4 linked regions of the Pelodiscus sinensis genome follow. The protein of the gene in region 4 purifies or fractionates together with the protein of the main gene of each other region. This does not show direct contact. Links are inferred from orthologs where the notes say so. Each region holds a gene or a part of one and is shown on either strand. Other genes may lie near its edges. The genes, in order: NBAS, SEC22B, SCFD1 and STX18.

Region 1 (7,138 bases), on a different chromosome or scaffold from region 4:
AAATGTATTCTCCTTTAATGTATCTCCACTGAGCCTTACATGCACCATGCAGTTACAGAGAAACCCTTCTTCCAATCCATTAAGAAACCTCCTTTTACGATACATTCATGTTTGACAGACAGCTTCAAATTTTACTGTTAGAACATTTCAGAAATAAAATCTATATAAGGCTCCTATCTACATTTGCAATGACAATGTGCCCATTTGAAATATCTATTAAGCATTGATGTTTTTAGCTGCCTACCACACACATTAAGGTTCCCCGGGCAATCTTAAAATTCAGTCTCCCTATGCATATGCATTATCATGCAGTCTTTAATTATGATTTTAAACATATTTTCCCAGAGGTGCTCCTAACTATGAAGTGGGGTCAGGGAATGTGTGTGGAGGAGCGTGGTTAGGGCAGGATGCTTGTCCCACTCTTCTCTGCAAGGCACTGCCAAGCACCCTGCCTCCACCACACTCCTCCGCAGATATTACCCCGATCCTTCTTCCCAGTAAGCACCAGGCAGGACAAAGCAGGACAAGTACCCATATAGAGTCCTTTTTCTGAACAGTTGCAAAAAAGCAAACATGCTTCTGGGATGCATTAATAGGAGTATTGTGAGCACGACACAAGAAGTCATTCTTCTGCTCTACTCTGCCCTGATTAGGCCTCAGTTGGAGTACTGTGTCCAGTTCTGGGCACCACATTTCAAGAAAGATGTGGAGAAACTGAAAAAGGTCCAGAGAAAGAGCAACGAGAATGATTAAAAGTCTAGAAAACATGAGCTATGAGGGAAGACTGAAAGAACTGGGCTTGTTTATTTTAGAAAAGAGAAGACTGAGAGGGGACATGGTAACAGTTTTCAAGTACAGGCAGTCCCCGGGTTACATGGATCCGACTTACATCAGATCCCTACTTACAAACGGGGTGAGGCAACCCCGCACTAGCTGTTCCCCCCAGCAGACCAGGGAGACGCAGAGCGGCTTTTCTCAGCAGACACCTCAGCTTGAGAATAAAGGACTGAGGGAAGTGAGGTGTGGGAGAATAAAACGGAGCTCTGGAGAAATGTTTGGCTAGAGTTTCCCCTACAATATGTACCAGTTCTGACTTACATACAAATTCAACTTAAGAACAAACCTACAGTCCCTATCTTGTACGTAACCCGGGGACTGCCTGTATCTAAAGCGATGTTACAAGGAGGGGGAGAAAAATTGTTCTCCTTGGCCTCTGATGACAGGATAAGAAACAATGGGCTGAAATTGCAGCAAGGGCGGTTTAGGTTGGACATTAGGAAAAACTTAACTGTCAGGGTGGTTAAACACTGGAATAAATTGCCTAGGGAGGTTGTGGAATCTCCATCACCAGAGATATTTAAGAGCAGGTTGGACAGACGTCTATCAGGGATAATCTAGACAGTGTTTGGTCCTCCCGTGAGGACAGGCAACTGGATTTGATGACCTCTCAAAGTCCCTTCCAGTTCTAGTATTCTATGATTTACACATCTGCTCCAATAGCCACAAAAATTAATTGGAAGCAAATACCTATGGATTTCTGCAGAAATTGCAGTACTCTATTCTTGAAAAGTGTTCTTAGTATCCATTAACTAGAAAGTGGAAATTAAAACACTGTTTGCTCAGTTATTTCCCTAATTAAATTTTTCATGAAGTATCTGTGTTTTAACTAGAAATGTGTGTAATTGACAAGTCTAACTGATAAGACTAAGCTTATCGGTTAATCTTATAGTCAACTACACTTTGACATGCCTAGTATTGGGGGAAAGGGAGGGGTGCGTATTTTACACACACAAACAATTTGAAATCAAAACATAAATACAAGGAACAACTTTACAGCAGAAATGTAACCTCTAAAATGTAAGACAGACAGCTGATTTAGCACAAAGTGGAAAAGAATAGAGAAATAAATGGAAGATGAAAAATTTGTCCCTGAGGATACACGGCCAAGCCACTACTCACCAGCCACTGAAAACAAGGTTTCTCAGTGGCTCACACAGAACAAACAGAACCTCAACAAATTACCATCTTCCAATTAGTAAAGTTTAAATAATATCCAACTTTTGTGCTTTGATGTCTACTTATGCCATCCTCTGTAAAACACACGAAGTATGTTATGTTCTCCCCATTCAGTATACGGGGCAGATCTGCCAACCAAGACCTGCCATAGCTTTAATAGGAAATAACTTCATTTTGCATCATACACTGTTTACTTGATAGAGGGCCTGGTTTCCCTAAGTGCAACCCGTACTGACTCTTTTGGCGCTGTTAGCTAACCTCTTCTGAAGAGCAGGCTCAAAGTAAATTGCACAACGAATACTTCTACCCGACAGCCTTCTGTACTTTTGCTAAAAAGCAAAAACCTCACCAATATTGGTTAACGGTATAAAAAGCAAAGGGGCAGCGGCAACGCCGGCTTGAAGCGCTTTCCATCATACAGCGCACACAGCGGTGTTCAAGGGCTCCCCGCACCCCGGGACTGCAGCAGCCCGCGTGCAGGAGCGAGGTGCCAAACGGGAGCGGGCCGCCTCCCCCCTGGCTGAGCGACACACGCCAGGTGTTTGGTACGTGCCCGGGATGCTCCTTAAGGTGTCAGGAGCCGCTGCCTGCCAGGGTGGCCCCAGCAGCCTTAGTAGCCGGGAGAGAAGAAGGCCCCTCGCTCGCTCGGGATGACGGGGGGTCTCGCGCGTGGAAGGTGCCCCCAACGGTAGCCCGACCCCTCGTCGCTGGGGGACAAGGAGACCGCGCCGTGCGCCCGCCCTCCCGCGCCTTGCAGGGCTCAACGTGGCCACCCCGCCCCCACCTGGGTCACTCCCACCCAGCTGAGCGGCGGGGGGGCGGGGGGGGCAGACTGACCTGCACCTCGGTCTCCGGCGGCCACTCGGTGTTGATGAGCAGGTCGTAGAGGATGTTTTCCTCCTCGTCCCCGCTAGCGACCCCCGCCGCCGCCTCCCAGCTCCCAGCGGCAGCAGCCATGAGACACCAGCTACGGCGCCCGGCTGCGGACAAACCTCTCACTCACTCCTCCTGGCGGGGAGGAGGGAAAGAGATGTTTAACCCTTTCCGCTCTGCTGCTGTCTGCATAGGGCAAGTGGAGGCCACGGCCACACCAAAAAAAACTGAAAAAAACAACGAGTGGTCCAGTAGCACCATATTTTTTGTTAGAAACGAATACAACTATATATAGTATCATGAGCTCATGATACTATAATATATCAGGGGTCTGCAACCTATGGCTCTAGAACAAATTTGGAACCAAAGATGGCCCTTTTGTCAATCCCAAAATACACATTTTTTTAAGTTAAAATGAAACATTTAAAATTTTAAAAACGTGTAATTACTCATGTCAAGATGATTTGTTTTGTCTATTTCACCTTTAAGTGTTCACTTTAACCACACTCTGCACCCTCCCTTGCTCTTGCTTCCTTCCCCCCGGCCGGACACCCTACACCCAGCCTGCTTCTGCACACTACCTCCCACCCACACCTTGCACCCTCACCCCTTCCTGTTCCCCAGATCCTGCACCCCCATCCCTATCTCACTCACTAGCAGCCCATCCAGCACACTGAAACTCTCATTTTTCTCCCCACCCCCAGAGTCCTGAGGTGTCTCAGGTGGGAGCCACATCACTGACGGTTGGCGTAGTTCTTCTGTTTCTCACTTGTGTGTTCCCCAGCTGATTTTTCTATTGGTCAGTGGCCCCCCAACCCAAAAAAGGTTCCCTGCCCATTCCATTGTGGAAGAAAACATTGTCCTCGCTCTGAGTTTGTAAGCAACAAGTAGCCAGAGGCAGTTTTATTACAAGCTGCAGCAAGGGAAAAACTGGTTCGGACGGGGGGGGGGGAAGTCCCCCCAAGGCAGATCTTCAGATACAAGCAATTATGAAGAGTTTATATACTGTCCATTATATATAATAACAACAACAATTAGTCTCCTTCCCATTACAGACACCAATGGCTAACAGTTATTTAGTTCCACCCAGATGCTCCTTATCTCAAGGTCCCTGCTAGAGTCAGCATTCTATCCTTATCTCCGTATGGAGGCAAGAGGCAAAGGCAGTGTCTAAGTACAGATCTCGCGTTGTCAGGCCACAGACTTAGCCTGACTCTTGCTCTCTTGTTAACAAGACCAAGATGGCTGCACACAAATTCCCGTATTCCCTTTTCCTGCCTCCACACCATAAATAAAGAAAACATTGAAACCTTTTGTTTGCGACATAAATTAATACTTTATTTAAAATGAAGTTTGATAAACTAACAGGAGAAAGTTCAAACACTTAATTTGTTTAATAATTTAAATTAAACCATTCTCCTTAGCTGCAGGACTTGCAAAATGGCTCAGGCATAATTATGTCATTAACTCTGAATTTCCATTGCAGCTGGTGGTCTACAGAAAGGTCTTCATTGAGGCGGATGGTCCATAGACCAAAAAGTTTGAGAACCACTGTATTACAGGATCAGCACCCTAGAATGCACAATCATCGAGACAAATAGTGTTAATTTAGGAGAAACACAAAGAAAATAATAAACTACATAGTATTTTTTTTAAATGTGTGTATAGTATTTTTTGTAATGTAGACTTCTTACAACAAAAAGAAGATCACACTTTACTGCTAACCTTTTCTATTTTTAGTATTTTAATAATCTCTTTTTAAATTTGCAGTCAGCTATGTGGTCTAGTTTTAGATACTGACAAAAGTGTGGAATTACAAGGCCTAGCACTCTATGCCATAGACGGTTTAAATTAAACATTACAGAAATAGTGCCATTTGAGAAGAAATTTCTACTGAGTTCTGATTGTTTCTTTAGATTAATATTTTTAATTTATTTATGTTTTTCAAGGTAAAAGGGTGACAACAGCAGTGCATCTGTCCAATGTTCACAATTTATAAGAACAATATGAGGTTCACAGTACATTTTTCCTTTAGCGTTACAGATCTGGCAACAAGTGCTTCAACAGCTTCACATGGGCACCTCAACTTTTTTTAAAATAATTGCATTAGTATAATATTTTATGACTCCATTGAAATGTAAAACATGAAGATGATGGATTAGATAGAAATGAGTTAAGGACTGTAAAGTACAAAGAGGAGCCAGAAAATAAACATCATTTAAACAAACTATATTAAAATTGATCTCATCTGAATATAATGCAAAGGTGTATAGCAGAGATGAAACTGATACCCACTAAAATATGGCCTTTGGTCTTTGGTTACTAATGAAAGACAGCTAACAAAAACGATCCAAAACACCACTGGTGACAAACGAAATCTGGTATTAAAGTACTAGAATATTTATTGCAATATTCCTAATACTTACCTTCTCATATACACCAGAATAAGTCAGTAACAATGAATATGCTCTAAATGGTAACACACTTGGACAGAAGGTGCTGAACTCAATTCTCATGACAGGAATTAGTTTAGCCATTATTCATGCCACTGTGCAATAGTACATATTGCATTGTTATAGAAGCTGTCCTTTGGATGAAATCTACACCAAGGTGCTTTCTTCTTCTCTCTGGGGAAGTCTCAATGGAATTTTAAAAGTTCTGTGTATCATTTTGACAACAGGAAGGAATCACCATGATGCTCTACTCTCATGCTTTCTCTTTGATAAACTAGTTTATAATTGGCCAAATTCACAAATAATGTGAAATGGTGAAGTTACACTTGTTTAGTTCCCAGTTTGAGGTTAATCCTATATTTACAGTTCCAGATCCAGAGGTTTTCACTCAATAGAGGTTCTTGTCAATAGGAGTTTGTTTCAACAGAAACAGAGCAGAAACTGAGCAGTAAAAGTTGAGTAAGGACTTCAGGAATAGATTATTAAAAATAAGTTAGAACTGATTATTATTCCGTATGTGTAAGTAAAGATACTTTCAAACAAACATACTCTTCTAGAAGATTAAATAACTATGAAACCAGGCTATACCAATCTACTTGTTTAGAGGTGACAACAACTGTATAATTTAAAGATAAAATATTCAAAGTAAACAGATAGTTTGGGCTTAGGTTCAAGTCAAGAGTTCAGTTTCAGCTTTGGATTAAATGAGCAGTGTTACTAATTTTCTAAGGGTGTGTCTAGACAACAGCGCTATTTCAAGACATCCGTGTAAACATAATTCCACGACAATTTTGTAATAGCACTCTATTTCAAAATTAACTCAAAATAAGCTATGGAATTTACATAGCTCAAATTGAGTAGCTTATTTTGAGCTAAGGGTGCAGTATACATGCACCCTAAATTGTACTGTAATTCTCATTCTATTTGGTATTTGGTATTTTTGTTAAAGTTGCAGCAAGATCCTAGCTCTGTCCAAGAGAGTTGATGACTTGGAAGTCTAGAGTGAGTAGCCTTCTTGGAGCAGAGAGTGCAGTCCCTTGAACCTGTGACAAAAATAACCCAAAAGCAGCGAAAAGTCCTGTAGCACCTTATAGACTAATACAAATGTTGGAGCATAAGCTTTCGTGGGCGAAGACCCATTTTGTCAGATGCTTTAGCCCACGAAAGCTTATGCTCCAACACTTCTGTTAGTCTATAAGGTGCCACAGGACTCCTCACCACTTTTGCAGATTCAGACTAACGCGGCTACCCCTCTGATACAAAAAAACCCCAGATTTTCAAGTGAATATTTTCAGATTTGGAAGCCTGACTCTTCAGTCTTGAGAAAACAACAAATAGTCCTTGAACACTTGGTGCGGACAACACTGAGTCTGAATGAGGATTCAGAACTTGGGTTCAGTTTGGCTCATGGTCTCAGGTTTACTAGCTGGGTTACAATTCACAACATGATCTTGATCTGGTCAGTCTCTGTGTGGTTTCAAATTAGGTACACTGAATGGGTTAGGGATGTTAAGGACTAGCAAATGCGTATCGGATAGTCTCTCGACTAGTCAACTAGTCGATTCCCCACCACCACCACCACCTCCCTGCTACCTCTATGAGATAGAGGCAGAAAAGAGGGGGAGTACTTCAAAGCAGCAGTGCCACACAACTGAGCCGGGAATCAGCTATGCGGCACTGCCGCTTTGAAACCCCAATGCGGTGTTTCAAAGGGGAAGCCGCTGCACAGCTGATCTGCAGCTCAGTTGTGCAGCACTGCCCCTTTAAAACACCACTTCCATGGAGCCCGGAGTCAG
Region 2 (7,986 bases), on a different chromosome or scaffold from region 4:
GAGCCCCCCGCCCCCGCGCAATGGTCCCGGGGCGCGCGTCGCAGCGCTAGCCCCCGAGCCCCCGTCCCCGCGCAATGGTCCCGGGGCGCGCGTCGCAGCGCTAGCCCCCGAGCCCCCGTCCCCGCGCAATGGTCCCGGGGCGCGCGTCCCAGCGCTAGCCCCCGAGCCCCCGCCCCCGCGCAATGGTCCCGGGGCGCGCGTCGCAGCGCTAGCCCCCCGAGCCCCCCGTCCCCGCGCAATGGTCCCGGGGCGCGCGTCCCAGCGCTAGCCCCCGAGCCCCCGTCCCCGCGCAATGGTCCCGGGGCGCGCGTCCCAGCGCTAGCCCCCGAGCCCCCGCCCCGCGCAATGGTCCCGGGGCGCGCGTCCCAGCGCTAGCCCCCGAGCCCCCGTCCCCCGCGCAATGGTCCCGGGGCGCGCGTCGCAGCGCTAGCCCCCGAGCCCCCGTCCCCGCGCAATGGTCCCGGGGCGCGCGTCGCAGCGCTAGCCCCCGAGCCCCCGCCCCCGCGCAATGGTCCCGGGGCGCGCGTCGCAGCGCTAGCCCCCGAGCCCCCGCCCCCGCGCAATGGTCCCGGGGCGCGCGTCGCAGCGCTAGCCCCCGAGCCCCCGCCCCCGCGCAATGGTCCCGGGGCGCGCGTCCCAGCGCTAGCCCCCGAGCCCCCGCCCCGCGCAATGGTCCCGGGGCGCGCGTCCCAGCGCTAGCCCCCGAGCCCCCGTCCCCCGCGCAATGGTCCCGGGGCGCGCGTCCCAGCGCTAGCCCCCGAGCCCCCGCCCCCGCGCAATGGTCCCGGGGCGCGCGTCCCAGCGCTAGCCCCCGAGCCCCCGTCCCCCGCGCAATGGTCCCGGGGCGCGCGTCGCAGCGCTAGCCCCCGAGCCCCCGCCCCCGCGCAATGGTCCCGGGGCGCGCGTCCCAGCGCTAGCCCCCGAGCCCCCGCCCCCGCGCAATGGTCCCGGGGCGCGCGTCGCAGCGCTAGCCCCCGAGCCCCCGTCCCCCGCGCAATGGTCCCGGGGCGCGCGTCCCAGCGCTAGCCCCCGAGCCCCCGTCCCCGCGCAATGGTCCCGGGGCGCGCGTCCCAGCGCTAGCCCCCGAGCCCCCGCCCCCGCGCAATGGTCCCGGGGCGCGCGTCGCAGCGCTAGCCCCCGAGCCCCCGTCCCCGCGCAATGGTCCCGGGGCGCGCGTCCCAGCGCTAGCCCCCGAGCCCCCGCCCCCGCGCAATGGTCCCGGGGCGCGCGTCGCAGCGCTAGCCCCCGAGCCCCCGTCCCCGCGCAATGGTCCCGGGGCGCGCGTCCCAGCGCTAGCCCCCGAGCCCCCGTCCCCCGCGCAATGGTCCCGGGGCGCGCGTCCCAGCGCTAGCCCCCGAGCCCCCGCCCCCGCGCAATGGTCCCGGGGCGCGCGTCGCAGCGCTAGCCCCCGAGCCCCCCGTCCCCGCGCAATGGTCCCGGGGCGCGCGTCGCAGCGCTAGCCCCCGAGCCCCCGTCCCCGCGCAATGGTCCCGGGGCGCGCGTCCAGCGCTAGCCCCCGAGCCCCCGCCCCCCGCGCAATGGTCCCGGGGCGCGCGTCGCAGCGCTAGCCCCCGAGCCCCCCGCCCCCCGCGCAATGGTCCCGGGGCGCGCGTCCCAGCGCTAGCCCCCGAGCCCCCGTCCCGCGCAATGGTCCCGGGGCGCGCGTCCCAGCGCTAGCCCCCGAGCCCCCGCCCCCGCGCAATGGTCCCGGGGCGCGCGTCGCAGCGCTAGCCCCCGAGCCCCCGCCCCCGCGCAATGGTCCCGGGGCGCGCGTCCCAGCGCTAGCCCCCGAGCCCCCGTCCCCGCGCAATGGTCCCGGGGCGCGCGTCGCAGCGCTAGCCCCCGAGCCCCCGTCCCCGCGCAATGGTCCCGGGGCGCGCGTCGCAGCGCTAGCCCCCGAGCCCCCGCCCCCGCGCAATGGTCCCGGGGCGCGCGTCCCAGCGCTAGCCCCCGAGCCCCCGCCCCCGCGCAATGGTCCCGGGGCGCGCGTCCCAGCGCAAGCCCCCGAGCCCCCGTCCCCGCGCAATGGTCCCGGGGCGCGCGTCCCAGCGCTAGCCCCCGAGCCCCCGTCCCCGCGCAATGGTCCCGGGGCGCGCGTCGCAGCGCTAACCCCCGAGCCCCCGTCCCCGCGCAATGGTCCCGGGGCGCGCGTCCCAGCGCTAGCCCCCGAGCCCCCGTCCCCGCGCAATGGTCCCGGGGCGCGCGTCCCAGCGCTAGCCCCCGAGCCCCCGTCCCCGCGCAATGGTCCCGGGGCGCGCGTCCCAGCGCTAGCCCCCGAGCCCCCGTCCCCGCGCAATGGTCCCGGGGCGCGCGTCCCAGCGCTAGCCCCCGAGCCCCCGCCCCCGCGCAATGGTCCCGGGGCGCGCGTCCCAGCGCTAGCCCCCGAGCCCCCGCCCCCGCGCAATGGTCCCGGGGCGCGCGTCGCAGCGCTAGCCCCCGAGCCCCCGTCCCCGCGCAATGGTCCCGGGGCGCGCGTCCCAGCGCTAGCCCCCGAGCCCCCGCCCCCGCGCAATGGTCCCGGGGCGCGCGTCCCAGCGCTAGCCCCCGAGCCCCCGCCCCCGCGCAATGGTCCCGGGGCGCGCGTCCCAGCGCTAGCCCCCGAGCCCCCGTCCCCGCGCAATGGTCCCGGGGCGCGCGTCCCAGCGCTAGCCCCCGAGCCCCCGTCCCCGCGCAATGGTCCCGGGGCGCGCGTCCCAGCGCTAGCCCCCGAGCCCCCGTCCCCGCGCAATGGTCCCGGGGCGCGCGTCCCAGCGCTAGCCCCCGAGCCCCCGCCCCCGCGCAATGGTCCCGGGGCGCGCGTCGCAGCGCTAGCCCCCGAGCCCCCGCCCCCGCGCAATGGTCCCGGGGCGCGCGTCGCAGCGCTAGCCCCCGAGCCCCCGTCCCCGCGCAATGGTCCCGGGGCGCGCGTCCCAGCGCTAGCCCCCGAGCCCCCGCCCCCGCGCAATGGTCCCGGGGCGCGCGTCCCAGCGCTAGCCCCCGAGCCCCCGTCCCCGCGCAATGGTCCCGGGGCGCGCGTCCCAGCGCTAGCCCCCGAGCCCCCGTCCCCGCGCAATGGTCCCGGGGCGCGCGTCCCAGCGCTAGCCCCCGAGCCCCCGTCCCCGGCCAATGGTCCCGGGGCGCACGTCGCAGCGCTAGCCCCCGAGCCCCCGCCCCCGCGCAATGGTCCCGGGGCGCGCGTCCCAGCGCTAGCCCCCGAGCCCCCGCCCCCGCGCAATGGTCCCGGGGCGCGCGTCCCAGCGCTAGCCCCCGAGCCCCCGCCCCCGCGCAATGGTCCCGGGGCGCGCGTCCCAGCGCTAGCCCCCGAGCCCCCGCCCCCGCGCAATGGTCCCGGGGCGCGCGTCCCAGCGCTAGCCCCCGAGCCCCCGCCCCCGCGCAATGGTCCCGGGGCGCGCGTCCCAGCGCTAGCCCCCGAGCCCCCGTCCCCGCGCAATGGTCCCGGGGCGCGCGTCCCAGCGCTAGCCCCCGAGCCCCCGTCCCCGCGCAATGGTCCCGGGGCGCGCGTCCCAGCGCTAGCCCCCGAGCCCCCGCCCCCGCGCAATGGTCCCGGGGCGCGCGTCGCAGCGCTAGCCCCCGAGCCCCCGCCCCCGCGCAATGGTCCCGGGGCGCGCGTCGCAGCGCTAGCCCCCGAGCCCCCGTCCCCGCGCAATGGTCCCGGGGCGCGCGTCCCAGCGCTAGCCCCCGAGCCCCCGCCCCCGCGCAATGGTCCCGGGGCGCGCGTCCCAGCGCTAGCCCCCGAGCCCCCGCCCCCGCGCAATGGTCCCGGGGCGCGCGTCCCAGCGCTAGCCCCCGAGCCCCCGTCCCCGCGCAATGGTCCCGGGGCGCGCGTCCCAGCGCTAGCCCCCGAGCCCCCGTCCCCGCGCAATGGTCCCGGGGCGCGCGTCCCAGCGCTAGCCCCCGAGCCCCCGTCCCCGCGCAATGGTCCCGGGGCGCGCGTCCCAGCGCTAGCCCCCGAGCCCCCGTCCCCGCGCAATGGTCCCGGGGCGCGCGTCCCAGCGCTAGCCCCCGAGCCCCCGTCCCCGCGCAATGGTCCCGGGGCGCGCGTCCCAGCGCTAGCCCCCGAGCCCCCGCCCCCGCGCAATGGTCCCGGGGCGCGCGTCCCAGCGCTAGCCCCCGAGCCCCCGTCCCCGCGCAATGGTCCCGGGGCGCGCGTCCCAGCGCTAGCCCCCGAGCCCCCGCCCCCGCGCAATGGTCCCGGGGCGCGCGTCCCAGCGCTAGCCCCCGAGCCCCCGCCCCCGCGCAATGGTCCCGGGGCGCGCGTCCCAGCGCTAGCCCCCGAGCCCCCGTCCCCGCGCAATGGTCCCGGGGCGCGCGTCCCAGCGCTAGCCCCCGAGCCCCCGCCCCCGCGCAATGGTCCCGGGGCGCGCGTCGCAGCGCTAGCCCCCGAGCCCCCGCCCCCGCGCAATGGTCCCGGGGCGCGCGTCCCAGCGCTAGCCCCCGAGCCCCCGTCCCCGGCCAATGGTCCCGGGGCGCACGTCGCAGCGCTAGCCCCCGAGCCCCCGCCCCCGCGCAATGGTCCCGGGGCGCGCGTCGCAGCGCTAGCCCCCGAGCCCCCGTCCCCGCGCAATGGTCCCGGGGCGCGCGTCGCAGCGCTAGCCCCCGAGCCCCCGCCCCCGCGCAATGGTCCCGGGGCGCACGTCGCAGCGCTAGCCCCCGAGCCCCCGCCCCCGCGCAATGGTCCCGGGTCGGGCTGGACTCCAGGGCCCCTCCTCTGAGCCTCGCGCGCCGCCCTGGGGTCTGCTCGCGGACGCTGCGATCCTGCCACTGGCAGCTCGGCACGAGGGCCCGGCTGCCGGCCGATTGCAGAGCCCCCTTCGCCCCTGGGCAGCCCTACCCCCCGGGCCGCTCCGGCCGGAAGCGAGCGGCGCCGGCCGGGCTGCGTTTGGGGGGGACCGGAAGTAGCCCGGTACTTCCGGCGAGGGCGCCCGGATGCTGAGTTGGCTGTTTCCGGCCACCTCAGTAGTCGAGGCCAGGCTGAGGGTGGCGGGGCCGGGCGGCGCCCGGGGCGGAGCGGCGCGGACATGGTGCTGCTGACAATGATCGCGCGGGTGGCGGACGGGCTCCCTCTGGCCGCCTCCATGCAGGAGGATGAGCAGGTGAGAGCGGGGCCCTCCTCCCGCGCGGCCCGGAGCCCCCCGCCTGCCCAGGGCCCCCCTTCCCGTGCCCCCCCGCCTGCCCAGGGCCCCCCCCGCCTGCCTAGGGCCCCCCTTCCCGGCCCCCCCCGCCTGCCCAGGGCCCCCCTTCCCGTGCCCCCCCGCCTGCCCAGGGCCCCCCCCGCCTGCCCAGGGCCCCCCTTCCCGGCCCCCCCCGCCTGCCCAGGGCCCCCCTTCCCGTGCCCCCCCGCCTGCCCAGGGCCCCCCCCGCCTGCCCAGGGCCCCCCCCCGCCTGCCCAGGGCCCCCCTTCCCGTGCCCCCCCGCCTGCCCAGGGCCCCCCCCGCCTGCCCAGGGCCCCCCTTCCCGGCCCCCCCGCCTGTCCAGGGCCTGCCCAGGGCCCCCCCCCGCCTGCCCAGGGCCCCCCTTCCCGTGCCCCCCCCCGCCTGCCCAGGGCCCCCCTTCCCGGGCACCACCCCGCCGCCCCCCTTCCCGGGCGCCCCCCCGCCTGCCCAGGGCCCCCCTTCCCGTGCCCCCCCGCCTGCCCAGGGCCCCCCTTCCCGTGCCCCCCGCCTGCCCAGGGCCCCCCCCGCCTGCCCAGGGCCCCCCCCGCCTGCCCAGGGCCCCCCCCCGCCTGCCCAGGGCCCCCCCGCCTGCCCAGGGCTCCCCTCCCGTGCCCCCCCCGCCTGCCCAGGGCCCCCCCTGCCATCCCCCACCCGCCCAGGGCCCCCCTGCCACCCCCCGCCTGCCCAGGGACCCCCTTCCTGGGCCCCCTCTGCCACCACCCTGCCTTCCCAGGGCTCCCCTCTTCCTGGGCCTTCTTTGCCGTCCCACGGGCCTTCTCCCTTCCCAGACCCATGTCCCCCATCCCAGGCTCAAGTCTCCTGATGCTCACTGTCTGCTTTCCAGCCCAGAATGCCCCCCTCCAGACCCTCCCTTTCTGGCCCAGAGCGCCCCTCAGATTGAAATCAATCCCTCGGGGAACAGAGGCTGTAAAAGGGTGGTTTGGGTTTGTGCCTTCTCAGAAGATTGAGGTACTGCTTGAGTTTGCTGGCAGGTGTGAGTTTTAGGCAGCTGATGACCTCTGCCACTGTGCTTCTCACCCTGTGACTCCTTGAAGATGAAACTCACCCACCTCCTGGCACTCAAGAGACATAAAATAACATGTTAAGGGGTGATTAGGGCACTGACCACCGAGTCAAGTACAGCCTTATCATTCTGGAATCTAACGGTACCATTTTAATGGTAGTTGGAGCTTTTTTGCAGTTCAGCAAGGCTACTTGTGTTATGAGCCACTATAATATTCATTAATATTAAATCTACCCACCCATAACCAGATTTGTAATTTTGCCACTTTTTTGACTAGTTACATTATATATTATTTAAATTAATACTTGCACCAATGTTCTTTTCAGACTATTAATATAAACATTTTGATGACACATTTTAAAAATGCTTATTAAAAGCCCTGCTAAAACTAGTTATAACCAAAATGGAGCCACAATATAATTTTGGATCATGTCTTTAGTACTGTCAAGGGGCTGGGGGTTGGTTTTTTTTAGCCTTTTTTTTAACACTAACAACTTTAATTTTCTGTATTTCTCCACACTTAAATACAAATTAGGCTTTGGTTAAAGTTAGCTTAACGTATTTTATAGGCTGCAGTGGTCTCACCCTCCATTGCTGAAAGGGTCTTTTGTGTTGTGTAGAACTGCCATCTCTCCAAACTATGCTATTCTTCCATCAACAGCTCACAGCCTTCCCCCCTTCCCGGAATCATGCCCTCCAATTTCTGGAGGGTCTGCTGACACTCACTGTCCATTTTCCAGCCCAGAAAGCCCCCTCTTCAGACCCTCCTTCCTAGCCCAGAGTCCCCCTCAGACTGAGATCAGGGGGACAGAGGCTGCAGTTGCATCGGCAGTGGGGGTTAGTTTAGTACAACATGGCTGTTAGTGAGGTGAGTGGCTTTTTCACTCCATGCCTGATGCAGCTATTTTGATTGAACTTTAAGTGTATCCCAAGCACCCTGGGGAGAGGTGGAAACTAGATTTGGCATCAAGATATAGGCATTCCCTTGTCCCACAGTGTTTGGACTTAGAGAGAGAGAGATTGTGTCCCCCCTAGTAACAATGAAGTTCCCAAAGACTCTTTTTCCACAGAGATCCCAAAGTAGATCAGAACTATATAAGAAGCCAAGACTCACCCCTCAGTGCCACTGAGATTCTCATCCTTGCATACATACATGCATGCTTTTGAGGAAGCAAGCTAATTCTCCTGGCCAGAGAGAGATTGTCATTCCTGCATTGTAAACCCAGGGTTAGTAGAACTCAAGTTCTACTGACACATGTTCTCTGGGCCAAGACCCTCTGCAAGAAATGCTTAAAAAAATCCCCAAACCCCAAAAGCCACAACTTCATAGGGACTTCCAAAAATGGGGACTGATGTATTCATCAGAGGTAGATTCCTGAGATCTACCAGCATGTACTACTTAGTTTGATTGTGCCCATCAACTTCAGATCCAGTTCTGGTAAAACTCTTTGCAGTTAGCTGTGGACATTGTATTAGTGTCCTTCTGGGAAAAGGGCCTGCCTGTGCCTTAAAAGACTGTTGTATTGTTTGCAGTTCACTGTGCCATGTGGTAGAACCTGGCCTAATAGACTTTTTCTGCTTCTCAGTCAGGTCGGGACCTGCAGCAGTACCAGAGCCAAGCTAAACAGCTTTTCCGGAAATTGAATGAACAGTCACCTACCAGATGCACCCTAGAAGCAGGATCAATGGCTTTCCAGTAAGTATAAAGTGCTGTAGAGGTGGAAAGTGTCAGCATCCCAACTTACGTTTTTAGAAAACCAAAAGGTACTTCCAGAAGACATTAGAGGTTCAGTAGAATTTGGGCCATGA
Region 3 (8,072 bases), on a different chromosome or scaffold from region 4:
GTCTTTAAACCTGAAAATAGAATTTATTTTTCTTATCAATGGGACAAAATGTAACGTAGTGACAATTTAGTTTATTAAAATATCTGCCAGAATGTTTCCTATACCTCAGCTCAATTCTGTCCATTAGACCTCTAGATTCCCAGGCTCTTAGCAAGTTTGCATCTTTTCAGAAGGAAAATTATTTTTCTATCATTTCCTATAGCAGGAAGAACACAAAACATAGGGCCGAAACGTTTCTGAAGACTAACTCACAAACAGATGGTGGGCACTGCCATACTGAAAAGTGGGAGCATACCTGAATGTGTACGCTTTTAAAGAACATAAGAATGGCCATACTGGGTCAGACCAAAGGTCCATCTAGCCCAGTAGCCTGTCTGCTGATAGTGGCCAGTGCCAGGTGCCCCAGAGGGGGTGGACCAAAGACAATGATCAAGAAAACTGTCTCCTGCCATCCTTCTCCAGCCTTTGACAAACAGAGGCCAGGGGCACCATTCCTTACCCCTGGCTAATACAGGCAGTCCCCGACTTACGCGGATCCGACTTACGTCGGATCCGCACTTACGAACGGAGCTTTCTCGCCCCGGAAGTCGGGGCGAGAAAGCCCCGTTGATAAGCTGCTCCGGTGCCCCTGGTCTGCTGGAGACCGTCTCCAGCAGACCAGGGGCACCGGGCGGGTTCCCGCGCTTCTGAGGCTTTGCCAGAGCAAAGCCTCAGAAGCGCGGGAACCGCTGCTGCTGCCCCTTGAGACCCGGTGCCTGTGGTCTGCTGGGGACGGCCCCCAGCAGACCACAGGCACCCGGACTGAAGCCGCAGCCGCGGGGGGGTCCCGCGCCTCTGAGGCTTTGCCAGAGCAAAGCCTCAGAGGCGCGGCACCCCGCTGCTGCTGCGGCTCTGCTCCCCGTGTCCCTGGTCTGCTGGGGGTGGGCGCAGCTAGTGTGCTCCCCCCCCCCCCCAGCAGACCAGGCTTTTGTTTTGGACTCTGGGGCAGAGCAGCTGGGGCGCTGCCGATTGGTCCTGCAGCGCCCGTGGGCACTACTGGACCAACCCGGCAGCACCCCAGCTGCTCTGCCCCAGGTCCTGATTCAGCCGCTGCTGGTCAGTTTCAGCAGCGGCTGAATCAGGACGTCTGGGGCAGAGCAGATGGGGTGCTGCTGGGTTGGTCCAGTAGCACCCCAGCTGCTCTGCCCCAGGCGTCCCCAAGTCAGCTTCTGCTGAAACTGACCAGCGCTGACTACAGGAAGCCCCAGGCAGAGTTGCTCTGCCCCATGCTTCCTGGAATCAGCTGCTGATCAGTTTCAGCAGCAGCTGACTTGGGGACGCCTGGGGTTCTTAAGTTGATTCTGTATGTAAGTCAGAACTGGCGGTCAGTTTCAGCAGTGTCTGAATCTGGATGCCAGTTCCGACTTACATACAGATTCAACTTAAGAACAAACCTACAGTCCCTATCTTGTACGTAACCCGGGGACTGCCTGTAGTCTTTTATTGACCTAACCTCCATGAATTTATCTAGCTCTTTTTTAAACTCTCTTATAGTCCTAGCCTTCACAGCCTCCTCTGGCAAGGAGTTCCACAAGTTGACTATGCGCTGTGTGAAGAAGAACTTTCTTTTATTAGTTTTAAACCTGCTACCCATTATTTTCATTAGTTCTTATATTATGAGAACAAGTAAATAACTTTTCTTTATTCACTCTCTCCACACCACTCATGATTTTATATTCCTCTATCATATCCCCTCTCAGTCTCTTCTTTTCTAAACTGAAAAGTCCCAGTCTCTTTAGCCTCTCCTCATATGGGACCCATTCCAAACTCCTAATCATTTTAGAAAAGGTTCAGAAAAGAGCAACTAATACCAAAATATCTTTTTTGAGGTGAGGAGACCATATCTATACACAGTACTCAGGCATATTATTCACATAGCTGAAGTTGCATACCTTAGGTAGACTTACTGAAGTGGTACAGATTTAGCCTAAGAAAAAAGTTGATGCATTAGCCCTATTATCAATAGTAGTCTCCCTAATGTTCATCCTATTTAACTTCATTTTTTTCCCTATCTCCTTGACTCTCCAGGACTCATATACTTCCCAGGTGTTTTGTTTAATGCTAATAGCAAATACATGCACCAAAGACTCATATTTCTGTCTTCACACCTTGTTTTCAGCCTGCTCTTGTCACAGAGTCACAACAAAGAGAAACAGTTTCCAGAAGTCAACAAATGTACTAACCACTTTCTTTTGCATAATTTGTGCCATCTCACCCATTCACTTGTCTACTTAGTTTGCAACAGGAAAGCCAAAGTCTGGGGATTTTGGTGCCCTGGGCTCTATGTAATTATGATTTTTTACATTCCAGAAGTCTCTGCAGTGCAGTCCTCTATCACAGTAATGGTTCCAGAAAGCCCATTCTCAACTATTTCCAGACATTCTACTCGCCCGGATCGAGTAGGACTAGTCAGGTGAGCGCCAACTCGCAGCAGAGTTGGGGCCTCTTCTAGGAGAGCGGATCAGGGGCAGGCGGAACTCAGTGGGGCGCTAGGGGCTTGACGAGGTGGGTCAGCTGATGGCCAGTGGCTGGGGCTTCTGGGCGAAGTCGTGCGAGAGCCCCCCCCCCCCCGCGGGCGGGGCTTCAGAGGGGTGGGTGGAGCAAGAGTTGACAGGCCCCCCCTCAAGAGGAACGCCCGGACGGGGAGGGGGCGCTTGTTACAGGCCCCGCGCTGCTACCCTTTGCCCGCGGGAGGGTGAGTGAATCCCGTGCTCCCGCGGCCGGAGCGCTGGGCAGCACAGCTACCAGCCGCTGCACATCTTCCTGTAGCCGCAGCCAGGTGCGGCCCCGAGTCTCCTGCTCACGCCCCCGGGCTGGGGCGGCAGCTGCGGCGCGAGCCTCCCGTGACACGGCTGCGCGGCAGGACTAGACAGGAGAGCGCCTCACCTGTCTGCTTCTCCCGGATCCCGGCCGCCATCTTCACGGCCAGCCCCGCCCACTTTCGCGTACGCACCAGCCGGCGACGTGGCGCGTCTCCTCAGTCGAAGCAGAGCGGGGGGCGGGGACAATTGGCGCGCCGCAGCGTCACGCGCCGTGCCCTGCCCCTGAACAGCAAGCAGAGCCAAGGGGCGGGGCTTGGCGGCGGTAGCTTCTGCGACTGGATGGATAGTGAAAAATTGTGACGTAAGCACTACCGATAAATAGGACTTGTGCGCAGCGGGTGTTAGGTAGTTAAATACTTTTGAACACCTTCACTGTAGGCATTTCAGATCTGCCACCGTGCTCCTGTTACTACGGTAGCTGCTACACTAGGAGTGGCCAATAATTTTTGATCGGGGTGAGCCTGCCAAGAATTGAATAAGTTAAGAGACACACTCTTCAATTATATTAATGGAGGAAGTGCCGGAGGGCTGGAAGACCACCAAGGTGCAGGAGGAGGTAGAGGATCCAGGAGGGGATATGAATGCAAGAGGGGCTTCTGACTTGTGCAGGAAGGAGTGTATGGTGTTAGAGGGGGTTGAGCCCTAGGGCAGGCAAGCAGGAGGGTGTGCAGGTGGGCTGTGACCTCGGATAGGAGATTGGGGTGCAGAGCAGTTGAGTTACATAGGGTGGGGAGGGGGGGAAGAGAGGAGAATAGGGTTGCCAGGTGTCCAATAGTGGCAGCTTATGTCCTGTAAAAAAATCCAGAAAGTACCAGGCATGTAAAATGTATTTTCTGATTTTCTTGGACAGAAAAGTGCTTGGGACATTCTTCCCCTGCCACTTTTGGTAGGGGCAAGGAGGAGTATGATTCTGTTTTTGTGTGGTTGGTTTTTTGCTCGATTTTGGTCCCTGGGTTTTTTTTTTGGGGGGGGGGGGGAGTGCTCAACAGCTTTGGTCCCCATCTTTATTTTTTTTTTGCTATACCAATTTTTTTCCCCCACCCTGTTTGGCATTTTTTGTGAAACTATCTGGCAACCCTACAAGAGAACAGAAGGTTGGAGAGAGGGGCTGAGGTGCCAAAGGCAGGCTCTGGCCTAGAGGTGCTTACCTAAACAGCTCTTGGGCAGCAGCCCAGCACTTCCCTCAGGCAGGCTCCCTGCCTACCATGCTTCCATACAGGGCTCAGAGCTGCCCCTCTGGCGACCATGTGCTGTTCTGACTGACCATATTTTGCCTGCCCCTGTGCTACACCCTGGATGCCACAATCACTTCATTTTCTAAATGAAGTTTAACTGCTTTTGAAGAAAATACACTTTTAATACAATTGCTTACTAACTGAATCAGTTATTTTATTGCACTTCAAAAGATTTTATACACATGACAGTTGTCTCCCACAATTAATGTATTTATTTCATGGAGTAACATTGACATAGATGCTAAGTATGGTACTTGAAAGCTGCAACAGATTTCAGCTACTATATACTACAATTATGGCAAAAAAACAAAGCTAAAACTAGTTACAAAATTCCAAAGTTCTGTAATGTGTATTTTAATAAACATGGATGTTTTTCAAACATTCACTTTGTGTTACATAACATGCTAAATGTTAGTTTAACCAGAAGACATTAATTTCCACAATTCAGATAGTCTTTAGGAAAAACAAATATATACATGCTACTATTCATAAACTAGTCTTTGATTCCCGTTTTGCTTGTATGCAACTGACAACTTCCTTTTGTTAAACCAATAACAGTATCACAACTTTAAATGATTTACTATATACCAATAGAGGGAAACAAAGCTACCCTTTAAAAAAAAAATAAACCTATTTGCAGCTTTATGCATCTATTCAATTTATTGCTTCTCTAGTTGAAAAAAAATACCAGTTTATATCAATTGGCACTTTAAAAGTATAAATCATAGAACTGGAGGTAGATTAATGATCCTACTCAGGGCATTTTATGCTGTCCATATTTAAATACTTCTTCTCTTCAAATATTGAACTATGTGGCTGCATCTAGATTGGCATGATTTTCCGGAAATGCTTTTTGGAACAGAGCGTCTAGATTTGCGGAAAAGCGTCTGTGCCAATCTAGACGTGCTTTTCCGCAAAAAAGCCCCGATTGCCATTTTCGCAATCGGGGCTTTTTTGCAGAAAACAAATCTGAGCTGTCTACACTGGCCCTTTTGCGCGAAAGCTTTGCGCAAAAGGGACTTTTGCCCGAACGAGAGCAGAACAGCATTTCCGGAAGAAGCACTGATTTCTTACAGTAGGAAGTCAGTGCTTTTGCAGAAATTCAAGCTGCCAGTGTAGACAGCTGGCAAGTTTTTCCGGAAAACTGGCTGATTTTCTGGAAAAACTGGCCAGTCTAGAGACAGCCACCCTGTATTAGGGATGTAAGAGTTTAACAAACAATAAGCATTAGCTTATCAGTTTCAGTTGCGCTTAAACTCTTCTGCTAGTGTGTGCTGGTTCCTGGAAAGCCGGCTGCTGCGCTGAGCTGCAAGCTCTGATATTGTGGGCTTTGCAGTATGGGGCTGGCACATATCAGCTGCCTTCTAGGGAACTGGCTACGCTGCAGGCTCCCACAGCGCATGAAACCGCTAAGATTTTTAATGGTTACTTTTTAAAAGCTTTTTATATCTGTAGTATATATTCCCTATTGTAAGGAAGAACTGTAAATCTACTTTGTTGAAAAGATCTGCATTGCATGTAATGCTGTGGTGCTGGAAGTAAAATATAAGGTTGGTTACTTCACACACTGAATATAATTACAGGCAGTCCCCGAGTTACGCGGATCCGACTTATGTCGGATCCGCAGTTACGAACGGGGCCCTCTCCCTGGTCTCCAGCAGACCAGGGAGAGGAAGCAAAGCGGCGGAACACGCGGGCAGCGGACAGCCCAGACGCTTCTGGGCTGTCCGCTGCCCGCGTGCTCCGCGGCTTTGCTCTGCTTTGCTCCCCGTCCCCCTGGTCTGCAGAGCAAAGCAGAGCAAAGCCGCGGAGCACGTGGGCAGCCCAGACGCATCTGGGCTGTCCGCTGCCCGCGTGTTCTGCCGCTTTGCAGCCCCGTCCCCCTGGTTTGCAGACCAGGGGGACGGGGAGCAAAGCAGAGCAAAGCCGCGGAGCCCGAGGGCAGCAGGACAGCCACGGCGCGTCTGGGCTGTCCTGCTGCCCCCGTGCTCCGCGGCTTTGCTCCGGACGCCTGTGGTACAGCAGCTGGGGCGCTGCCGGTTGGTCCCGTGGCGCCGCTCTGGGCGCTACGGGACCAGCCCGGCAGCACCCCAGCTGCTCTGCCCCAGGCTTCCTGATTCAGCCACTACTGGTCAGTTTCAGCAGCGGCTGAATCAGGACGCTTGGGGCAGAGCAGCTTGGGTGCTGCTGGGTTGGTCCAGTGGGGGCGCTACTGGACCAACCCAGCAGCACCCCAGCTGCTCTGCCCGAGACGTCCCCAAGTCAGCCGCTGCTGAAACTGACCAGTGGCTGACTACAGGAAGCCCCTGCCCCGGGCTTCCTAGAATCAGCCACTGATCAGTTTCAGCAGCAGCTGACTTGGGGACGCCTGGGGTTCTTAAGTTGAATCTGTATGTAAGTCAGAACTGGCGTCCAGATTCAGCCGCTGTTGAAACTGATCAGTTTCAGCAGTGGCTGAATCTGGACGCCAGTTCCGACTTACATACAGATTCAACTTAAGAACAAACCTACAGTCCCTACCTTGTACGTAACCCGGGGACTGCCTGTATAACTAACACTTTAAAAAGAAAAAAAAATAGGAAGTTTTTTTTTTTTGGCAAGACTTCCTCTATCAGCTAATTCTGACTGATGGAAGTTCCAAGCTATCTTATTTGACTTGATTATTCCTATGTTTTTAAAATGTAGAGCCAAAGTTAAAAAAGCTACAATGTTTTAAAAATCTGTCGTCTATTAAATTAAAAAAAATTTTTTTTAATTAATGGAGATTGCCTATTTCCTAGAACTGGAAGGGTCATTGAGTCCTGTCCCCTGCCTTCACAGCAGGACCAAGTACCATCCCCAACAAATGTTTTGCACCAAATGGCCTCCAAATCCCTAAATGGCCTCTGCAAGGATTGAACTCACAACTCTGGGTTTAGCAAGCCAATGCTCAAACCACTGAGCTGTCCCTCCTCCCCAAGATTATTTGTAATAAAATTTAAGATTATTTGTAATAAAATTTCTAAGAAAAGCAAGTAAGTTGCTTATAAAAGATGACAGATCTAAAACAAAAGTTATGGCCTTAATGCAGAATTTAATGGGTGAGGTATGATCTGTGTAGGATTCGGATGAAGAATCATTCTTAATAGATGATGCTTACCAGGTAACAGTTAGCCTGTACCTGGGAGCGACCCAACTGCGGGCACAGGGCTGCTTCAGCCCCCGTGCAGGGCTGCTGGAAGCTACAGCAGCAGTGACAGCCCCCCCGGGGGGGGGGGGGGGGGCGGGGAAGATGAGAAGCAACTTCTTCCTGTAATGGGGCTGCTCTAGCCCAAACCCCTTTAAATCAGGTAAACATAGTGCCAATACTACATTTAACTTTTTAATTAAATGGAATTTTACATCCCTAGTGTATGAAGGTGAGACTAGATGACCACGATGGTCCCTCTTCTGATCGGAATCACTAATCTCATCCAAGGAATGTTTATTATATAAATGGTGTACTAACTAGCTTTTCTATTGTGTGTTTAACAGATAGCACTGGCTAATACTGGAGGTTTAAAATAAGCAGCATTCTTAACTCCTAATTTTGCTTTCATGTAATATTTATTTTTTTTGTATAATGGTAAATTACTGAGCATATGCAATTTAAATGACCAAGTTCAATCAATTAAATTTTAGGAGTTGATTGACATAGAAATAGTGAGAAACTTATATCACTACACCATAACTTTCTAATGAATGAAACAATTTTGTACTTCACAAAGATAATTTACTTTTAAATGTAGTAAAGCCATTTATTCTGGGAATATGAGAAATTAAGTTGAAAGTGATAATGTAATTTTTATATATATATATATGCTGGAAAATAAGCACAAAAAGGACCAATTAATCTCAGTGTTAAGTTCTTAGGAAGAAACAAGAATTGAAGCAAGGATTAATTTGGGTTTACAATGCTTAATTAAAGCAAAATATGCAATACAAGAAATGCTTTATT
Region 4 (7,317 bases):
CAGTATTGTTGTGCATGGTTTTAGGCATCCACTACCAGTCAACCCCATTGTACTTGTTTGGCAGACAGGATATCTGACACAAAATACAGGACTATGTAGCACTTTAAAGACTAACAAGATGGTTTATTAGATGATGAGCTTTTGTGGGACAGACCCACTTCCTCAGATCAAATAGTGGGTCTGGCCCACGAAAGCTCATCATCTAATAAACCATCTTGTTAGTCTTTAAAGTGCTACATAGACCTGTATTTTGTTTCAGCTACACCAGACTAACACGGCTACATTTCTATCAGGATATCTGACAGTTCCACTTGCCTAGAATGCACTCATGCTATTGCCCAGAAGCCTGGAATATGAAGTTTTCTTGTGCTTATGACTACAGGTTTAAGTGATTCAAGATGAGAGATTTCCTGAGACAAGCTTCCAGTTCTGATAAAGTCAAATTGCCACTGTAACTTTATTAATTATTTTAAATTAACATAATAGTCTTTAAATCAGATTTTAATTTAAATAATGTTACCACCTATGCTAGATTGCAAAGTCTCAGTGCATAAATAACTGAATAAAAAGGATCATTACTACTTCTAATTAGAATATTTATTTCAGAGGCTCTCTCATGTTAAATATTGGTTAACTGAATATAGGGCATCCGCACTGTACATCCAAGATACATTTAAAAAAAAGTAGACGTATAGCAAAGGGATGTAAAGCGAGGAATTTTCTTCCTGTGACTAACATCCGTTTCCGTCATTAAAAAAAAAGACCAATTAGTGCAGAACAGAGAATGGGAGGACTTAAAACGGAACAGTTCCCACAAGCATCAATGACGCCAGCTCAGAAGCAACATATACTGGGGCAACTTATAGCAAGGATGCCCTGTAGTCGAGTAACCTCATGAATTCTTATCAGTTAGTCAACTATTCTACAGTCCCTGGGGGCAGGCCTGGCAGCCACTGTATCAGAGGTAGCAGCAAAGGGTGCCAGGCAGACACTGGTCCGCAAGGGAAGTCAGTTTAAAAACAAGCTTCACTCGCAGACCAGCTGCCTGTTGCTCCGTGCTGCTGCCTCTGATAAAGAAGCAGCAGCGCAGGGTGGCAGCAGCCCCTGTCTAGTGGGGGTCTAAGCTCCCAAACCTGGCATGAGCCAGAACTGAACTGGGTTGCCTGCCTGGCTGGCTTCTAATACACATTAAATGCAGAGCCGCAGTAGGGGTATGTCCTGGACCCATCACAAGCCAGGACTCAGAAATTTACTGGCAGGAAGAGAGAAAGAGGGAAATGCATGTCTTCTATAGCATTAACCTATAACCTTTTGCTTATCAGTTAATTAATCAACTACACTATTACATCCCTAGCTCCCACCTCTAAATTCATTCTTCTGCAAATAACCAATATTGTCAAAAGTAAAATATCCCCATGACATTATGCCAAAAAGTGCAATTCTGCTGACACCCTCCAGAAAAAGTGTCAATATTTCTTAATATATTCTCTAATACACATATTTTTGTTTCCAATAGCTGCAGGCTATATATTTTTGTTTATATCTATCAGGTTACTTTAGCTCTAGTGTATAGAGGTACAACTCCACTGGCTTCATAATTTGAATCATGATTTAATTTAGCCTACTGTTTTAAAAACTGCAACTCCAGCAATAAAAATATCTCTGGTAGTTGATTTTAAAAAGTGGCAATTCATTAAAGCTGTTCAATGGGTTGGAATGATAGCCTAAAATCTGGAGAGAGATTAATGAACAGAAGACAGGTAAAGCTCTCAAGAGTTCATTGTAAATACAATTTATGACATGGTTAGGACACTGTATTAGTACAGCATGTAATATTTATCTGCACACAGAACATACACATACATCTTCAACAGTTATATGGCCCCAATTCTAAAAACCTAATTGTGCACATAGTATATTTAACTGTAGTCACAAGAATAGATCTAGTAACTACTATGTCACTATTCTTCTGAGTAAATTTACGTTCAAGCATAAATGTTTGCAGGAGCAGGGGCTACAAAAAAGGAGGAATTCTGGTACTCGCATGCAACAGAATTAACCCTAATAATGAATACAGCATAGAGGCTATATAATATCACCAGAGACTGCTACGTGTCATTATAAGCAATATACATGCCTTACCTCTGCCAAGTCACTTGGGGGAGGGCTTAGTTTTAAAGGGATATGTCAACCTGAAAGCTGATCAGTTTTTTTTTTAAGCGTCAGGACAAGAGTAGTTTTAGGTTCTCCTGCGTCCCCCACCAATTGCTGAGTTTGAAAACCATACTGCTGGCTATTATTTTGTTTTTGTGTTCTTTCTCTCCTGTTCCTGGGTAAAAGTCCCCCACGAACAACCGAGAGTAAACGAACGACTACCGGGCAGTTGTTTGTGGGAGGTTTTTTTTTTTTTGCCCAGCACGTTGGTTTTAATGGGAACTTTTAAAAGCCCCCCCCCCCCCCCCCCCGCAGCCCGACCAGCCACGCAGAGCCACCGCCTGGTCACTGCGGATGCACGGGGGCTGTAAAGGGGAAAGACCGACACGCAGGGGAGGGGGCTGCCAAGTGCACGAAGGAAAAGACTACGGGGCGGAGGGGGGGGGGGATAAGAGACTCTCCTCCCCCCTCCCCCCATCGCTTTGCATGGCACCGAGCTGCGGGGCACCTGTAGCTGAGATGGGGCTCGCTGTGCAGACGGGCAGTTGCTCTATTACCTCCACGCCACCCCCTCCCCCGCACTCACCACCTCGCGGGCCCGGCAGGAGAAGTCGCTCTTGGGCCGCTGGCTGCCCCGTTTGAGCAGCTCATCCCGGCCGCTCTCGCCGACCGGGACCCCCAGCGCCTTGTTCCGGGTCTTCACCGTCTTCACGCTGGCTTTGAACAGCAGCGTGATGTCCGCGGCCATAGCGACCCCGCTGCCGCCTCGCACGCCGGCCCCGCGTGGGTCACCCGCACAGTCCTCCCCGCACAACTCCGGCCGCCGTGCAGGGTTCCGCCGCCTTATCCGCCCCGGCGCCGCCCCGAGCCGCCAGGGAGCGCAGAGCCGCTGGGGTGGCACAAAGTGCAACTGGCACGTTCCCAGGCCCCCGCCCCGCGGAAACCCCGCTGCAGTGCCCCAGTGTGGGCGTGAGGGGAGCCCCCAGTGCCCAGTGTGGGTGTGGGGGGAACCCCCAGGGAGCGCCTGCAGTGCCCAGTGTGGGTGTGGGGGGAACCCCCAGGGAGCGCCTGCAGTGCCCAGTGTGGGTGTGGGGGGAACCCCCAGTGCCCAGTGTGGGTGTGGAGGGAACCCCCAGGGAGAGCCCCCAGTGCCCAGTGTGGGTGTGGGGGGAACCCCCAGGGAGAGCCCCAGTGCCCAGTGTGGGTGTGGAGGGAACCCCCAAGGAGAGCCCCCAGTGCCCAGTGTGGGTGTGGAGGGAACCCCCAGGGAGAGCCCCCAGTGCCCAGTGTGGGTGTGGGGGGAACCCCCAGGGAGAGCCCCAGTGCCCAGTGTGGGTGTGGAGGGAACCCCCAAGGAGAGCCCCCAGTGCCCAGTGTGGGTGTGGAGGGAACCCCCAAGGAGAGCCCCCAGTGCCCAGTGTGGGGAGAACCCCCAGGGAGAGCCCCAGTGCCCAGTGTGGGGGGAACCCCCAGGGAGAGCCCCCAGTGCCCAGTGTGGGTGTGGGGGGAACCCCCAGGGAGAGCCTGCAGTGCCCAGTGTGGGTGTGGGAGGAACCCCCAAGGAGAGCCCCCAGTGCCCAGTGTGGGTGTGGGAGGAACCCCCAAGGAGAGCCCGCAGTGCCCAGTGTGGGTGTGGGAGGAACCCCCAAGGAGAGCCCCCAGTGCCCAGTGTGGGTGTGGGGGGAACCCCCAAGGAGAGCCCCCAGTGCCCAGTGTGGGTGTGGGGGGAACCCCCAGGGAGAGCCCCAGTGCCCAGTGTGGGTGTGGAGGGAACCCCCAAGGAGAGCCCCCAGTGCCCAGTGTGGGGGGAACCCCCAGGGAGAGCCCCAGTGCCCAGTGTGGGGAGAACCCCCAGGGAGAGCCCCAGTGCCCAGTGTGGGGGGAACCCCCAGGGAGAGCCCCCAGTGCCCAGTGTGGGTGTGGAGGGAACCCCCAGGGAGAGCCTGCAGTGCCCAGTGTGGGTGTGGGAGGAACCCCCAAGGAGAGCCCCCAGTGCCCAGTGTGGGTGTGGAGGGAACCCCCAGGGAGAGCCCGCAGTGCCCAGTGTGGGTGTGGGAGGAACCCCCAAGGAGAGCCCCCAGTGCCCAGTGTGGGTGTGGGGGGAACCCCCAGGGAGAGCCCCCAGTGCCCAGTGTGGGTGTGGGGGGAACCCCCAGGGAGAGCCCCCAGTGCCCAGTGTGGGTGTGGGAGGAACCCCCAAGGAGAGCCCCCAGTGCCCAGTGTGGGTGTGGGGGGAACCCCCAAGGAGAGCCCCCAGTGCCCAGTGTGGGTGTGGGGGGAACCCCCAGGGAGAGCCTGCAGTGCCCCAGTGTGGGTGTGGGGGGAACCCCCAGGGAGAGGCCCCAGTGCCCAGTGTGGGTGTGAGAGGAATCCCCAAGGAGAGCCTGCAGTGCCCAGTGTCGGTGTGGGGGGAGCCCCCAGGGAGAGCCTGCAGTGCCCCAGTGTGGGTGTGGGGGGAACCCCCAAGGAGAGCCTGCAGTGCCCAGTGTGGGTGTGGGGGGAACCCCCAGGGAGAGGCCCCAGTGCCCAGTGTGGGTGTGAGAGGAATCCCCAAGCAGAGCCTGCAGTGCCCAGTGTCGGTGTGGGGGGACCCCCCAGGGAGAGCCTGCAGTGCCCAGTGTCGGTGTGGGGGGACCCCCCAGGGAGAGCCTGCAGTGCCCAGTGTGGGTGGGTGTGCGGGGGGGGGGGGCAGCGAGCCTGCAAGGTTACCTTACTGCACTGCCCTGGTGGTGGGGGGAGAGGGGAGCCCCTCTTTGCCTCAGTGTGCAGGGGGTGAGCCTCCAGGAAATCTTTCACTGCTGCAGGGGAAGGGGTATGAGTCTCCCCTCCAACCCCAGTGAGATCCTCTGTTCCAGTACCCGTGGGGTTATCACTCTCCATGCCACAGGCAGACTGTCTCACTGGGGGAAGAGAGTGACCTTTCATTCTACAATGAGGCCCCTATACAGTTGTGGTGGGGAGGAGTGAGCCCTACTGAAACTAAAATCAACAGGGCTCCCTGAAGGAGTTCTATCAAAACTGGGGTTTGAGGACTAATTTTTCTTCAGTTGAATCGTAAAATAAAAATTGGTAGGGTTCCTGCATTTACTAAAAGAGATCTTAATCTGTCTTTGAATCTTTGCACTCTAATTCCTTTTACTTCCATGAAAGATATATATTTCACCAAAAGCATAGTTTGGACTTATGCTTAGCATTCTGTTTTTGTTTCTTACAGTAAACGCTTAACCATTACAAGCCAAACTTAATAAAGCGTGGGTCACGCATATGAATTTTGCCAGTATTGTAATACTGGCCAATCCCTCCTAATGCAGATGCAGTTACATAGTCACAAAAATGTTTTGGCCAGGATCTCTTTTTTTCTGGTTCAATGACTGAAACAATCTATATTTGGCAAAAACAAAAGCTGGTATAACTGCATCTACACTAGGGCTTTTGCCAGGATAACAATGTTGTAAAAAAAAAAAATTAACGGTAAAACTTTTAACTGTAGACCTGGCCTTAGGTGGGTATTTTCATGCAGTGTGTTCTTATAAACAATATTATGGCAGGTGTCACCAGGTGGTGCTATTACAGTGTGTTATTGTTGTCCAAGTTCTTTTTCTTAGGCTATGTCTAATGCTACAGTGGACAGCTGCAGTGCACTACTATAGAAATTAACTGCAGTGCTTCTGTGTAGTCCAGAGTCACCAACAGCAGCATGGGGGGCTGTAGCCCACAATTAAAAGGGCCCACGGCTCTAGACTGCCACTGCCACTGACAATAGCATCTGGAGCCTATACAGCATGATCCAGGTGGTGCTGAGGGCTGGGTGGGGAAGGCTACTCCCCCCCGGAAAACTCTGCCAATTCTGTCCAAGGCCTCGCCCTTTACTAGGGGCCCAGAGTTGAGCTCCCCTCCCACTTTGCTGAGGTCCCAGTGAAGTCTGTCGCTTGCTCTGGTGTAGACACTATCTACACTGTCTGCAAGATAATCCACATTCCCAAGAGTTGGTAACTAGAGTGAACAGAAGAATTTCTTCATTAAACTAGCACTATCTACAGTGGGGGTTAGGTCACCAAAGCTACTTCTCTTCCATGTGTGAAAAATCCTGAGGCCTTGTCTACACCTACCAGCACCTTCAATCTACTTCAACTATGCAAATAGCATAGCTGAAGTTGACATTCTCCCTGTGGTGTCTTGCATTCAGTAAGGTTGGAGACTGCTCTCCCATCGATGCCAGCTACTCTTCTCGTCTTAGTAGACTACTAGCATCAAAGGGAGTGCACTCGGAGATCACTTAGTGTAGACAAGCCCTGAGAAAAGTAGCATATGCTGTATGCTGAAAAGTAGCTATTCCCAGTTTGGATTGGCCCCTGCATTTTTCAACCATGTGGAGACATGTTGATTAGTTGATTGAAGTAGGTTTTTCCTCTGGAACTGGGCACTGGTGTTAGGCTTACATTCCTGAAAGAAGAGTTGCATGCAATCTCTTGACCACCTCTGTTCCATGACTAATGTATAAGTGTAAATAAAACAAGTTACTATGTCAATGCTTTCTCTTCCACTGGGAAGCTGAGCTGTGAGGCCCTGGACAGCTGTTACCATTCAGCAGAGGGGCAATGGTAGTATTGGAACAGGACACTGGTGATGGAAGAGGGGGCAATAGTAAATTGCACTTTGAATTGTCTAGCAATGACACTAGCAACTCCATGGAAGGGCTGGAGACAATTTTAAGAAATAACATGTTGTTTTTAATATTATTGAGGAAAATTCATTCTCCCCAGATTGAGCACAAGCAGTTTGCCTTTGTGCAAGAGGATGTTGCAGGCATAGAGGGGAATGCAGTCTCACTCAGCAGACTATGATGGTGCTTTAGTCTCAGCCCACCACTAACTTCTGTAAGTTGCCTTCATGGGGAAGGGAAAAAACGTATGTGTAAATTGCTGGTGGATCTACATATATTGTAACTTACAACTCTTCTCCGACAGTTCCCCATCCTGCTTTTGGCCCATAAACTCCCATGGTAGTCCTCAGAGAGTAGAACCTCTGCAGAGGCCTCAAAATCCTGCCACTTGCCACAGAAGAACTGAAATTAATACAGGCTGAACCTCTCTAGTCTGGCACTCTCTGGTCTGGCAACATATGTGGTTTGGCATGATTTAAGTTAGCTGGATGTCCATTTAT

The links.
Region 1: the proteins of STX18 (region 4) and NBAS purify together in Homo sapiens (co-immunoprecipitation; 5 studies listed by BioGRID and IntAct, counting the BioPlex papers as one, with this or other methods). This does not show direct contact. The link is inferred for Pelodiscus sinensis from reciprocal best matches to the Homo sapiens genes STX18 and NBAS.
Region 2: the proteins of STX18 (region 4) and SEC22B purify together in Homo sapiens (affinity purification with mass spectrometry; 5 studies listed by BioGRID and IntAct, counting the BioPlex papers as one, with this or other methods). This does not show direct contact. The link is inferred for Pelodiscus sinensis from reciprocal best matches to the Homo sapiens genes STX18 and SEC22B.
Region 3: the proteins of STX18 (region 4) and SCFD1 purify together in Homo sapiens (affinity purification with mass spectrometry; 5 studies listed by BioGRID and IntAct, counting the BioPlex papers as one, with this or other methods). This does not show direct contact. The link is inferred for Pelodiscus sinensis from reciprocal best matches to the Homo sapiens genes STX18 and SCFD1.

Annotation. Positions count from the first base shown.
Region 1 is NC_134713.1:22,930,302-22,937,439, reverse strand, and holds the start of NBAS (NBAS subunit of NRZ tethering complex), read right to left. Parts: upstream 3,015-7,138; 5' UTR 2,974-3,014; coding exon 2,854-2,973; intron 1-2,853. UniProt on the Homo sapiens protein: Involved in Golgi-to-endoplasmic reticulum (ER) retrograde transport; the function is proposed to depend on its association in the NRZ complex which is believed to play a role in SNARE assembly at the ER. Required for normal embryonic development.
Region 2 is NW_027465903.1:289,661-297,646, reverse strand, and holds the start of SEC22B (vesicle-trafficking protein SEC22b), read left to right. Parts: upstream 1-4,921; 5' UTR 4,922-5,018; coding exon 5,019-5,093; intron 5,094-7,763; coding exon 7,764-7,873; intron 7,874-7,986. UniProt on the Homo sapiens protein: SNARE involved in targeting and fusion of ER-derived transport vesicles with the Golgi complex as well as Golgi-derived retrograde transport vesicles with the ER.
Region 3 is NC_134714.1:51,540,948-51,549,019, forward strand, and holds the start of SCFD1 (sec1 family domain-containing protein 1), read right to left. Parts: upstream 3,065-8,072; 5' UTR 2,957-3,064; coding exon 2,926-2,956; intron 1-2,925. UniProt on the Homo sapiens protein: Plays a role in SNARE-pin assembly and Golgi-to-ER retrograde transport via its interaction with COG4. Involved in vesicular transport between the endoplasmic reticulum and the Golgi.
Region 4 is NC_134715.1:110,695,886-110,703,202, forward strand, and holds the start of STX18 (syntaxin-18), read right to left. Parts: upstream 3,030-7,317; 5' UTR 2,903-3,029; coding exon 2,741-2,902; intron 1-2,740. UniProt on the Homo sapiens protein: Syntaxin that may be involved in targeting and fusion of Golgi-derived retrograde transport vesicles with the ER.